2 linked regions of the Schizosaccharomyces pombe genome follow. The protein of the gene in region 2 interacts with the protein of the main gene of each other region in a biochemical or structural test. Each region holds a gene or a part of one and is shown on either strand. Other genes may lie near its edges. The genes, in order: mto1 and mto2.

Region 1 (6,086 bases), on a different chromosome or scaffold from region 2:
CTTCACTGGGCTTTAGTAATTGGTAGTAAGTTAAACCTTTAGGATCATTTCTTTTCGTCCAGCAATTTTGTCTTTCTTCGTTGAGCACCATGCGTTCATTTTTCGAAGACACACTTGCTGACGCATTTTCCCTGTCTCGTAAATAGCCGCTTGATAGTAAAAATAAATCAGAAAATTCGACTCCATTTTCTTTTGCCTTTGATACTAGTTTGTTATTGTCTAATTCTTTAAGGCCCAGTAGGTCCATTCTATGTTTGTGGAATCGTTCTATAAAATTGTCCCAAGTGAATTGCTTTTTCCATGCAATGGATTCTTTCCTTTTTTTGCTCCTATTCAAGTTTATGTGAGCTCAATTTTGAAATTTATTTTGAGTACACGTTGTGCCTGAATAAAACTCGATTCTCCCAGCAAATGTAAACAAACACCGGGTTCTGGGAATTTTTACAAAGATGATACATGCGCAGTAAAATTTACTTAAAAAAGGTTAAATAAAAAATTATATTTCGAATTCTTTTGCGCGATTAAAATAAATTTTTTTTACGAATATGTGTGATTATTTCCTTTATAATCAGGGAGATACAAACACCAAAATGGTTAATCGAGAACAAAAAAAAATAAAAAATAAATATAAATCTTGGAATTAGCTTATTTTGTCAATTAAATTCTCCAACTAAGTAGATATGTACTGGTGATTAAGAAAAGCTATATACTTCAACCGCAAACTATCCAGATTATTATTTATGTTCTTGTGATGATATAGAAGGAGACCTAGAATTGCTTTCTTTATCCGTTTTTATTTGCCTTGAAAGACTCCTGTTTTGTCGAATCAAATCTTGAAGCCTTTCTCTGGCACCCAACTTGTCTCTTTTACGACCTTCTTGCTCAGCCTTGAGTTGAAACTCCATCTCTCTTAGTCTCAACTGCCATATATGGCTCATTCCTTCAGCATCTCGTTTCAAAGCTGTGATACCTCTTTGAACTGCTGACTTATCTGGAGAAGCGGGAACAAGCTTTTTATCCTCGGAATCCAAACTAACGCGTTTTGAAGCCCTTGGCGAATTTGGAATAGATGAAGTTGACCCAGCGCCTAAAAGTTTCACTCGTTCTTCCAACTGTGATAAACGCTTACTTCTAGCCTCAAGTACACCATCAAGCTTCCTGAGTTCGGTCTTAAATTCCCGCTCCATTGATTGACACTTCCGTTTGAATTCTTGAATGGATTTGTCCAACTCCCTAAAATTCATATTTACTGCCTGATTCATGCTTGAAATTGTCGTCAATGCTTCAACGTTGGTATTTACAGGCTTACTTCCCGTATTCAGTTGGGTAAAACGAGTGACAATGTTTTTTATGAGGGAATTTCTTTCTTCCACTTGCTCTTTAAGGCGTTTTTCAGATGCTTGTAAAAGTTTAAGTTCTCTAGATTGACTCCTTTCAGAAGGACTGGAAGATCCAGAGAGGTTTCTTCTGAAAGCTTGTGAAGACAAATTTTCCAACTCTAATTGGATTGCTTTTTTGGATCGTCTTTCCGCATCCAGTAAGTTCTTTAACTCCTTCTTTTCAGACACTAACGTCTCCAAAGAGTTTGTTTTTTCTTTTAAACTTTGCTCACAATGGTAGATTTTTTTCATCAACTTATCAGTACCAGACTGATCCTTTTTATTCTCATCTTTTAGTTTTCTTATCTGTTGTACCAAATGGTTAACCGAGCAGTGGGTGACCTGTTTATCAAATGTTTCCATAATAGCATTCTGCAAAGAATCGAAATTTTCGCGAAGGGTAACGTATTGATTATTTCTTTCCTCAATCTCACTTTTTAAAGAAGAGTTTGATGACAATATACCTTCAAATTCACGAAGTTTTTTATTTAATGAATCTAATTCGTCATTGTGCCTTTCCTTCAAGTTGCTAAGATAATCGGCTAACGATTCTTTACTCGTTGTAACGCTTTCCATTTCAGTTTTTAACTGACTAAGTTGATCATTTAACGACTCAATTTGCTCATTGAGTAAAAGTTTGTTATCGTTACTTTTCACCAGCTCGCTTTCTTTCAAAGCAATTACTTGCTTGTTTTCTTCATTTTCCTTCCTTAAAGAATCAACTTCTGCTTCTGTCATTTTCAACTGTTCAAGAAGATTTGATGTCTTTGAAGTTGAATCTTCCTTCGCTTTATTATTTTCTTCTTCCAAAGTTTGCAGCCGCTTTTGTAATTCGTCAAATTCATGGCATTTATCGTTATAACGTTCTGACAATTGGGTAATTTCATCAGTAAGCTTTTCAACCTCTTCTTTGAATAAAGAGATACTCTCCTCATTTTCCCGTATTGTTTTCTCGAATTTCTCAATTTCACGCTCTGCTTCAGTCCTAAGTTTACCTACTACTTCTTCGTAATCATCAGACTCTTTTGAAGACTTTGACAGCACCTCTTTGGTATCCTGGAGTTCTTGGGTAATCTCTTCGACATATTCCTGGAGTTGGTCAACATCTTCCCGCCATTGTTGCTCCATTCTCATCAATTTATTTTCATAATCCTCTTCAATATCTTGCAACTGTTTATATAAACGAGTAAGTTCAATTGATTGCTCTTGGGTTTTCATTCTAGATACCATCATAGAATCCCACAATTCATTCTTGCTTGATTCTGCCTCTACAATCGCATTCATCTTCCCTGAATTCAAAGCAACGGTAAGCTCCTCCACTTGTTTAACCAGGCGATCATTTTCCTGCTTGCGAAGTAGTAATGCTTCATTTTGCATAGATATGTCCATCCTCAACAGTTCATTACTACGCTGAAGTGTTTCAATAACACGCTCATCAGTATTTTTTGCAGGCATAGGAACTTTTTTGGATAACTGTACGCGAAGGGATTCCAACTCTTGCAATAGAGCTTCCTTTTCCCGCCGTTCGTTATCAAGCATATTTGACAGTACATTACGATCTTCATTGTATGCCCCAACAGAATAATTCGTCTTCTTTGATTTTTCTTTTCTCAAAGCCGCAAACGCTCTTTTGGTAGTTTCAAGCTCTGAAAGAGCCTGCGAATACCTCGATTGAAGAGTAATTAGGTTTGAAGGGGCCGGGCTGGGGGTGGAAAGGTTAAAAGACTGATCAGGCTTAATCCGGCTTTCTAATCCAGATATTTTTTTCTCATAGCCTGCAACGGCTCGTTGAAGCTCCATAGTAAGGGTCTTCAAATCGATGTTTTGCTTCATAATATCTTGAACCTCCTGATCGTGGAATTTATTTAATTGATCGTATAGAAAGTAGCATTTCAGTTTCAACCCAAACACTTCCTTTCTCAAATTATCAATCACGTTTGCTTGTTCCTTTAAAGTTAAGGAGGAGCCGGGCTGAGATTCCTCAAACTCTTTGGCAAGTGCATTTTTCCTGTCTTTTAGGTCTTTCATAGCAGACGCCGGTATCAATATATCGGAGATCTTTTTGCTTAAAGCATTGGTAGTGGGGGCATCTTGAGAATGTAAATAATTTCGTTCTTCTTTTATTGGGGTTAATTGCAAATCATCTTCATCATCCAAATGAGGTAACTGATCTAGAGAAGAAGAGATATAGTTCGGACTTGAAGGGTCCGAAGTATAATCGTAATTATTGTAACTATCTTCTTCATACTGCTCTTGGCTCTGAAACCCTTGATTAGCCGTAAGTACGGGAGAAAGCTGTTCATCATCAGTAGTAATGTTGTCATTGAGACGATCAAAATTCGTAGTATCCAAAAAAAAAGGTGCAACAGAACTATTTCCCTCCTCGTCCTCGCTATTCAATTTATTGACTGATTCATCGGGAGATTGAAGCGGAGTAGAGCTCGTTGGAGCAGTAGCATTTTGATGGAGACGAGGTGATCCAGAATCAGATTTTAAAGAATCTCTATCAATTTCAAAATCATACTTATGAGAAGCTTCTTCCGAATCTTCGTCTTTTGATGTAGAAGAGGGTAATTGCCGAGATCCTTCCTTTCTGGGTGATAAAATGCGACGAACTTCCTCGTCCGTCAGCGAAAGACCAGCTAAATTATCCACTAGAACATTAAAGTTATTACTATCTAACTCACTGGAATTTTCTTCCATAATTGATTAGAAAACGAACTTCGACATAAGCAAATCCAAAGCAGTAGGCATTGACTCTTGTAACAATTTCAAAGGAGCGATTTTTGAATAAGAAATTAATTCTTTCTTAAATTGTTAATTGTTAAAAGAAAGTATGGGATCGAAGATATGCCTATTGATACGCTATGGCATATATGTAGTGGCAGTAGTTCTCAATGGCTGTCTCTACTTGACGCATGTTAGACTAACGATCAACAAAGTAGTAGACTTGTAATTGCGGACTTTACAATTTTAGAAGGTTTAATGTTTGTGTTAGAAGCAGATATTTTCAAAAGAAGTTAATGAAATTAATTATACATTTGCACACACTCGTTTACATTATAAATAGCCATGTTATTTGGCATGCCTATGGCACATACACAAAACAATAGTACATACATTGATGATATGTAAAACGTAACTATGATTTTCATTAGATTAACTCTCCTCAAGTTAAGGTATGTTAACCTCATTTCACACTGTGAATCCTAAGTATATTAATTATTGATGGAATAAACGTTAAAAACACTAAAGTCCGCTACGATTATGCTTGAGTACATAGGTTTTCACGAACAAGCGTAAATTTGCTTTCCTACGTATAGTTGGTATGTAGCCTGAAATTATTTGTTTCAGTCTCTATTTTCACCGTGTTACATGATGCTACATTTCGATGATTTCAATCGCAACGGTAAATTGAACTATGAATATACGAACAAATATACTTTTCATTAAGAGAACATTTTTAATTTGCATAGTGTGTTCGAAACTTGAATTGAGTGAATGCGAAAATAAAGTCCTCTACAACTCATCAACTTGAGATATGTAGAGCAGCTGAAAAAAAATAATAATAAATAAATAAGTATATGTAAATTAATTTATCTAAGTAAATTAAGTTAATACTACTCAGTATTTTTTTTAATACAACAAAGAAAAGCATTCTTTCTATTAAGCGAAGGATTTTTTTTTTTTTTAAATCAATTACAATCATCACTTACTAGAATGAACCAACTAGTTGAAAACTTTCTTTTCTTTTCAATTTTTTTTTTTATTCAAGCTGATCATTGATCTGATATGTTTTCTTCAAACATTAATTCCATGAAATTGTTTAAAAAAATTTGCGAAAAAAAAAGTTGACAGGTATGTAAATATTACTAATATAGATTATTACAAAATAAAAGAGAAACTTGGCATCATCACTCGCTCTACATAATTTTTATTAAGTAAAAATGGTAATACATAAAAACTGCTTCAAACTCGTCAGTTACGTACTCTGCTAAATCGGTTAAGGTGTCAGCAATATTACATACGCTGCGATACACAACGCTGAATATCACTATATGCTACATATTCTAATTATACCATAGATGATACGATATTACGATTGTTCCTAATGAAATTATAATAAGTTCTATACTATCTGAATAATGCAAATGGAAGCACAATTGAAATGAAGAACGAGGATCAGTTATACGCTATATTAGTGATAGGTAAAAATATAACCTGTATAACAGAATAACTATACCCCAGTTGCGACCTTTATGACCCGCGTATTGCAATATGAATGATTATAAATATGTATTAAGATATTTGTAATAATGTAATACATTACTATGAATGCACTTAAATTAACTCGCGAATGAACTCATAAACGGAGTTCATTTGAGTTTACTTATAGAAATTCAATGAAGGATATATCTATATTCACCTTATATAAATGATGCGGGTATATAACGATCCAATATACAATCATTACAGTTCTGACTCTGAAAATATGATGTCCGACAGCAGCTATCTGAATGCGATTATGCCGACCCTATGCTAAATTCATTTAGTGCTACTGCATCATGTTATGCGACCAAAACCATATTATTGCCAGAGGTCATTTAGCCACGGAAAGCTTACAAGCAACATATGTTGAAAAGAAGAGTTACAGCGTCAAAAATCGTTCTTAACAACGCAGTGTGGTATTAGTTTAACGAGACATAA
Region 2 (4,353 bases):
CAGTGTTCTCACGAATCAAAACGGTATTAACGTTATCATAAGGTGTTTTGTATCCCGTAATAGATACACAGGGACGAACATTGGCAAACAAGCCGAAAGTACGACGCAAAGTAAGGTTCATAGAAACATGACCCTTCCCAATTGGGGTTGCCAATGGACCTTTCAAAGCCACTTTATTTTTCCTAACAGATTCCTTAGCATCATCAGGAATAGTAGTAGTACCTAAACGAATTAGTAAACGTGATTTTCGTGCGCGATAATCTCGAGGAGACATGGAAGGACTTGACAAGCAGGAACAAGCATTGCTGACAAAAACGTATAAAAGAAAGGCCAAACTGCATACAAATCCAACCATCTTCTCTTATACTTGACATACCATTTTTCAAAATAGGATATACTTTTACACGTTCCCATTCGATAGGGACCTACAATACAAGTCGTTAATGACTAAATGACGGATGACTCGACAAACCTTTGCAGCCTTAAATATACGTTCTACAGACTGAGCAATTTCTGGACCAATGCCATCGCCAGCAATCATCGTTACTGTGTAGTTCCCGTTGGCATTCTTTACTCCTTCATATGTCCCAGCGGCAGCCTTCGTTGAAGAAAATCTCTGCTAAAAATAACTCTGTTAATATAATCGATCAAATAATCATGAAAAGACGAGTAAGGCTGCTTAAACCAGCGATTTATCGCTTAGGAGCCAATTCACAACTTACAAAAGAGTAACAGGCGCTTCTTGAAAACGTCCGTAAAGAACCTGCAGTACGTAAAGTAGAAAGCATTGACATTGTTTTTTTATAACTAATGTAGCATGTATGGAGAGTGCAAGATGTCGGACCGTGATATAAACAAAGGATTCCGAGAGTCGTCGCATCATCCTTAATTTGACTTTACCGAATTTTGTGGAGATAGAACGTGGAGTTAAGCAAGGGTAATTGAGTGGAGTTTAACCATTTAGAAAGCCCCTCGAAGCGGAATGAGGAATTGTTATTACATAGCGCTCTTTTTTACTGCATTGTCTATTATTGCGTTATATAGTTTTTAACGATAATTTCAGTAGTACATAATTATTAATGTTGTTTAAAAAACACATCTATTTGGTTCTTGAGGTATATTCAGTAACTAAAGATGTAATTGTCTAAATTGAGAGGATAATTCGACGAATTGGTTTTGCTTGAATTAAAAAAATTGTAATTTTGTAGCTTCACACTGGTGTTATTGATATCTTGACTTTTGTATTGTTCTCAACTGGAAAATTAGTGTTGTCATATACTAGGTGTGCTTTTTTAATTTTTCGGATTATGCTTTATTTTCTCAATTACTCTTCCAAATATATTCATTCATTCAACAAAAAGATGTTTTGCTATTTGTCTTAAATAGTGTAGCATTTTAGAATACGTAGTTCCTATTTCAAACTATCTCAACCATACACTCACTAAAAACAATAACGATTATTGTGTGTTAAAGGCATTTAAAGATTTTTTAGGAATAGTTAAAAAAGCATAGTGACATGTAACGAAGCGTACTGTTTGCCCGCACAGTCGAAGTTGCCGCTTAGAATTAAGCTTCGGTTAATAAAAACTAGCAAGTTATCCTAACGAACTGTGGGAAAAGCTTATTCAGGAAAACTTCGTGGATCCCGTTAAAATACGTTATGATAACTAATAGCGAACTGTCTTGTTGCTGTGTTTTGCAATATTACTTTTAAATAGTATAAGACAGTATGTTAAGTTAGGTTTTCAGAGTGCATACTCTATTCGTTAATTCGTGCTTTCAACTCTTTATCTTTCAAGAGTGCAAGAATCTCTTGCAAATTCGAGCTTGGTCTTGCAACTGTTTATTCTAATCCTCCAGCGTCTTGCTGGTGGTTTCGCATGTCTGAACATAATTACCAGTCTGATAGGGAAGTGGCAGAGGATCCTTTTCTTAATTATGAAGCCTCTGCTAATCAATTATCCTCAAATTCGCGCGAATCTACTCCAAGAGGTTCACCATGGCGCGCTGGTATGAGATCCGCATCTTTAATGACAGAACCTTTAGAAGATTCCATGTATAGCGATAATAATTATTTAGACAATGGGGTCTCTTTTACAAAAGATGAAAATCCTCTTTACTCGCCGTCTTGGCCGAGTTTGGCGGATGCAAACGTGAATTCAATGAAGTCTAATAATGCTATACAGGAGCATAAAGCAGCGAAATTTGTTTCTGAAAAGTCTTTGGAAAAAGTATCGACTGCAGATAATAACCTTGTGCTTCAGGAGCTTGAAAATCTCCGAGAACGCTTAAATCAAGTAGAGCTTCAACTCAGTGAGCGACCCTCTTCCTACTTAGGCTATCATAACAATCTTAGTCCATATCGTTCTCCTAACAGTTACCCTTCTCTTTTACCCTCTACTCATTCACCTCACTCACCGGCGCCGCTAAGCACGATGCAAACGGCTCTTATGCGGCTTCGCACTTATCATCCTTCGCCCATCATTTTAAAGCCCGTAGAGCAAGCTGTAAACCATGCAATCACCTTGGTAAACACCTCTCCATCGAGTGTGGTGGATGCGTTATGCCGAAGCCTTGCCGAATTGTGTCTTGGCTTGGTGCAAGAAGCGATCGATGCATCTATTTTGAGTCAACAGGAAAGCTCAAACTCTTTAGATCTTGTCCGTCATACACCACCATTGAATTATACCAGTTCTGTTGATTCTTCACCACAACGTATGGCCTCTGATAGTTATGGTAGGCCTTCTCTGCATTTAAATGACCCCTTTCCATCAGTTGATCTTCAATCAAATGAACTTTCTCATCATAATGTTAGAACAACTCTCTTTTCTGATGATTCCCGATTTCATTCAAAAATTCATACACATTCTACTCCTCCTTCTCAAATGTATAGTGCTGCATCTCATTTCCGGTACCGTAGCGATCCATCAACCCGTCATGTCTCGAATTCTACAAACAAATCGAGCTTGCATCCATCACCAACGTCTTTGCGAGTTGCTCATCCTATTATCCCCCAGAGGGCGTCTCCAGCATCACAGTCTTTTCCTTCTCTTCAAGACACTCCTTCCCCCTAGTTCGGCCTATTACAAGTTTAATTTTGAATCAATTTTTCTTTGTGTTTATCAAGTAAATCAGGTTCTTCTCATACATGTAAGTTCATACAAACATTGATTGAGGAGTGCTATCATTTAATTTGTCGTCCCTCTCGTACAAGTTTTTATTTTTTTTATATCGCTCATTTCTTTAAGAAGTTGCTAATCCTACTAGGACGTCTATTTTAATGTTATTGGATCTGGCTGCATCTCTATTTGCTGCATTGCTTGCTCAAACTTTATAGTATGAGAACGTCTTAAAATTTGAGGTTTTGTTCATCTTCTCATCAATGCTATTTTTTTAAAATTGATAATTCAGTGCAGATCTTTTCATTATTTAACCATATACGATAATTTAGATTTGGGAAGTGGATGTCTTCTTCGCAAGACGAAATGGTACATTGTGTTTAATTAGCTTTATTTCGCACCTGATTTATAAAATGAATCAGATAATTTAACTCGTTACTGTATTTACTTTTAGTATCTTTCTATATTCAAGTTTACCAACTTGTTAAAATGCGTTACCTCTGTCACCTGTAGAAAAGCATCAAATGCTGTAGCTTGGTAGGAGCTCACAATACTTCCATACATCTTTTCAGTCTATCATCAATTATTAGAACACTGAAAATTTGTATTCTCCAGTTATCTTCTTGCAAGTTAAATATTATAGAGGAAGCTAAGTTGAAATGGTTATTGGTGCCATGAATGTTTGAAGGTAACTCACAAAATGAATTCTGAATCAGCGAAAGAAAATGCAGAAGAGCAAATTGAAACGAAAGGACGTGCATTGAAGTCCTCAACAAATATAGAACGAAAAGAGTCTTCCTTACAACCGCTTCGATCAAAACTTCCTTTGAGAATGTCTCAAAAACTACCTCCCTTAAAAATTTACACCTCCCAACTTCCCCTGGTTTCCCACAAAAATATGTTGGAAAACGAAGAGGAAGCTAGTCATTCACAATTGTTTACTCCGTGTCCTGTCCCTCCATCTTTCCCGAAAGCATCTAAACCCAATTCTAATCAGCCGTACCCCAATGGCCCTGTTTGTATCTATCCCCCAAATATTTACTTATATGCCAAACCTACTATGCCCATTATTCAATCTTTTGATGTTGTTATAAACGTGGCGAAGGAAGTTTTGCATCCATTTCGCACTGATGGCCGTCATTATAGAGATTCTAAACATAACCTGGACATTCAAGTATTTGATCACATCGAATATGTTCACATTCATTGGGATCATGATACACAGTTTGCTTTG

The links.
Region 1: the proteins of mto2 (region 2) and mto1 form a complex in vitro, tested with the Schizosaccharomyces pombe proteins (one study listed by BioGRID).

The regions. Positions count from the first base shown.
Region 1 is NC_003421.2:1,679,190-1,685,275, forward strand, and holds mto1 (gamma tubulin complex linker Mto1), read right to left. Parts: upstream 4,083-6,086; coding exon 735-4,082; 3' UTR 572-734; downstream 1-571. Other genes in the region: mug27 (protein kinase Mug27/Slk1), read right to left, coding at 1-247. UniProt on the Schizosaccharomyces pombe protein: Spindle pole body (SPB) component that acts as the gamma-tubulin complex-binding protein of the SPB outer plaque.
Region 2 is NC_003423.3:492,862-497,214, forward strand, and holds mto2 (gamma tubulin complex linker Mto2), read left to right. Parts: upstream 1-1,817; 5' UTR 1,818-1,880; coding exon 1,881-3,074; 3' UTR 3,075-3,150; exon of another isoform or gene 3,151-3,267; 3' UTR 3,268-3,562; downstream 3,563-4,353. Other genes in the region: idh2 (isocitrate dehydrogenase (NAD+) subunit 2), read right to left, coding at 1-222, 377-425, 473-619, 723-794; dual-specificity MAP kinase phosphatase Pmp1, read left to right, coding at 3,952-4,353.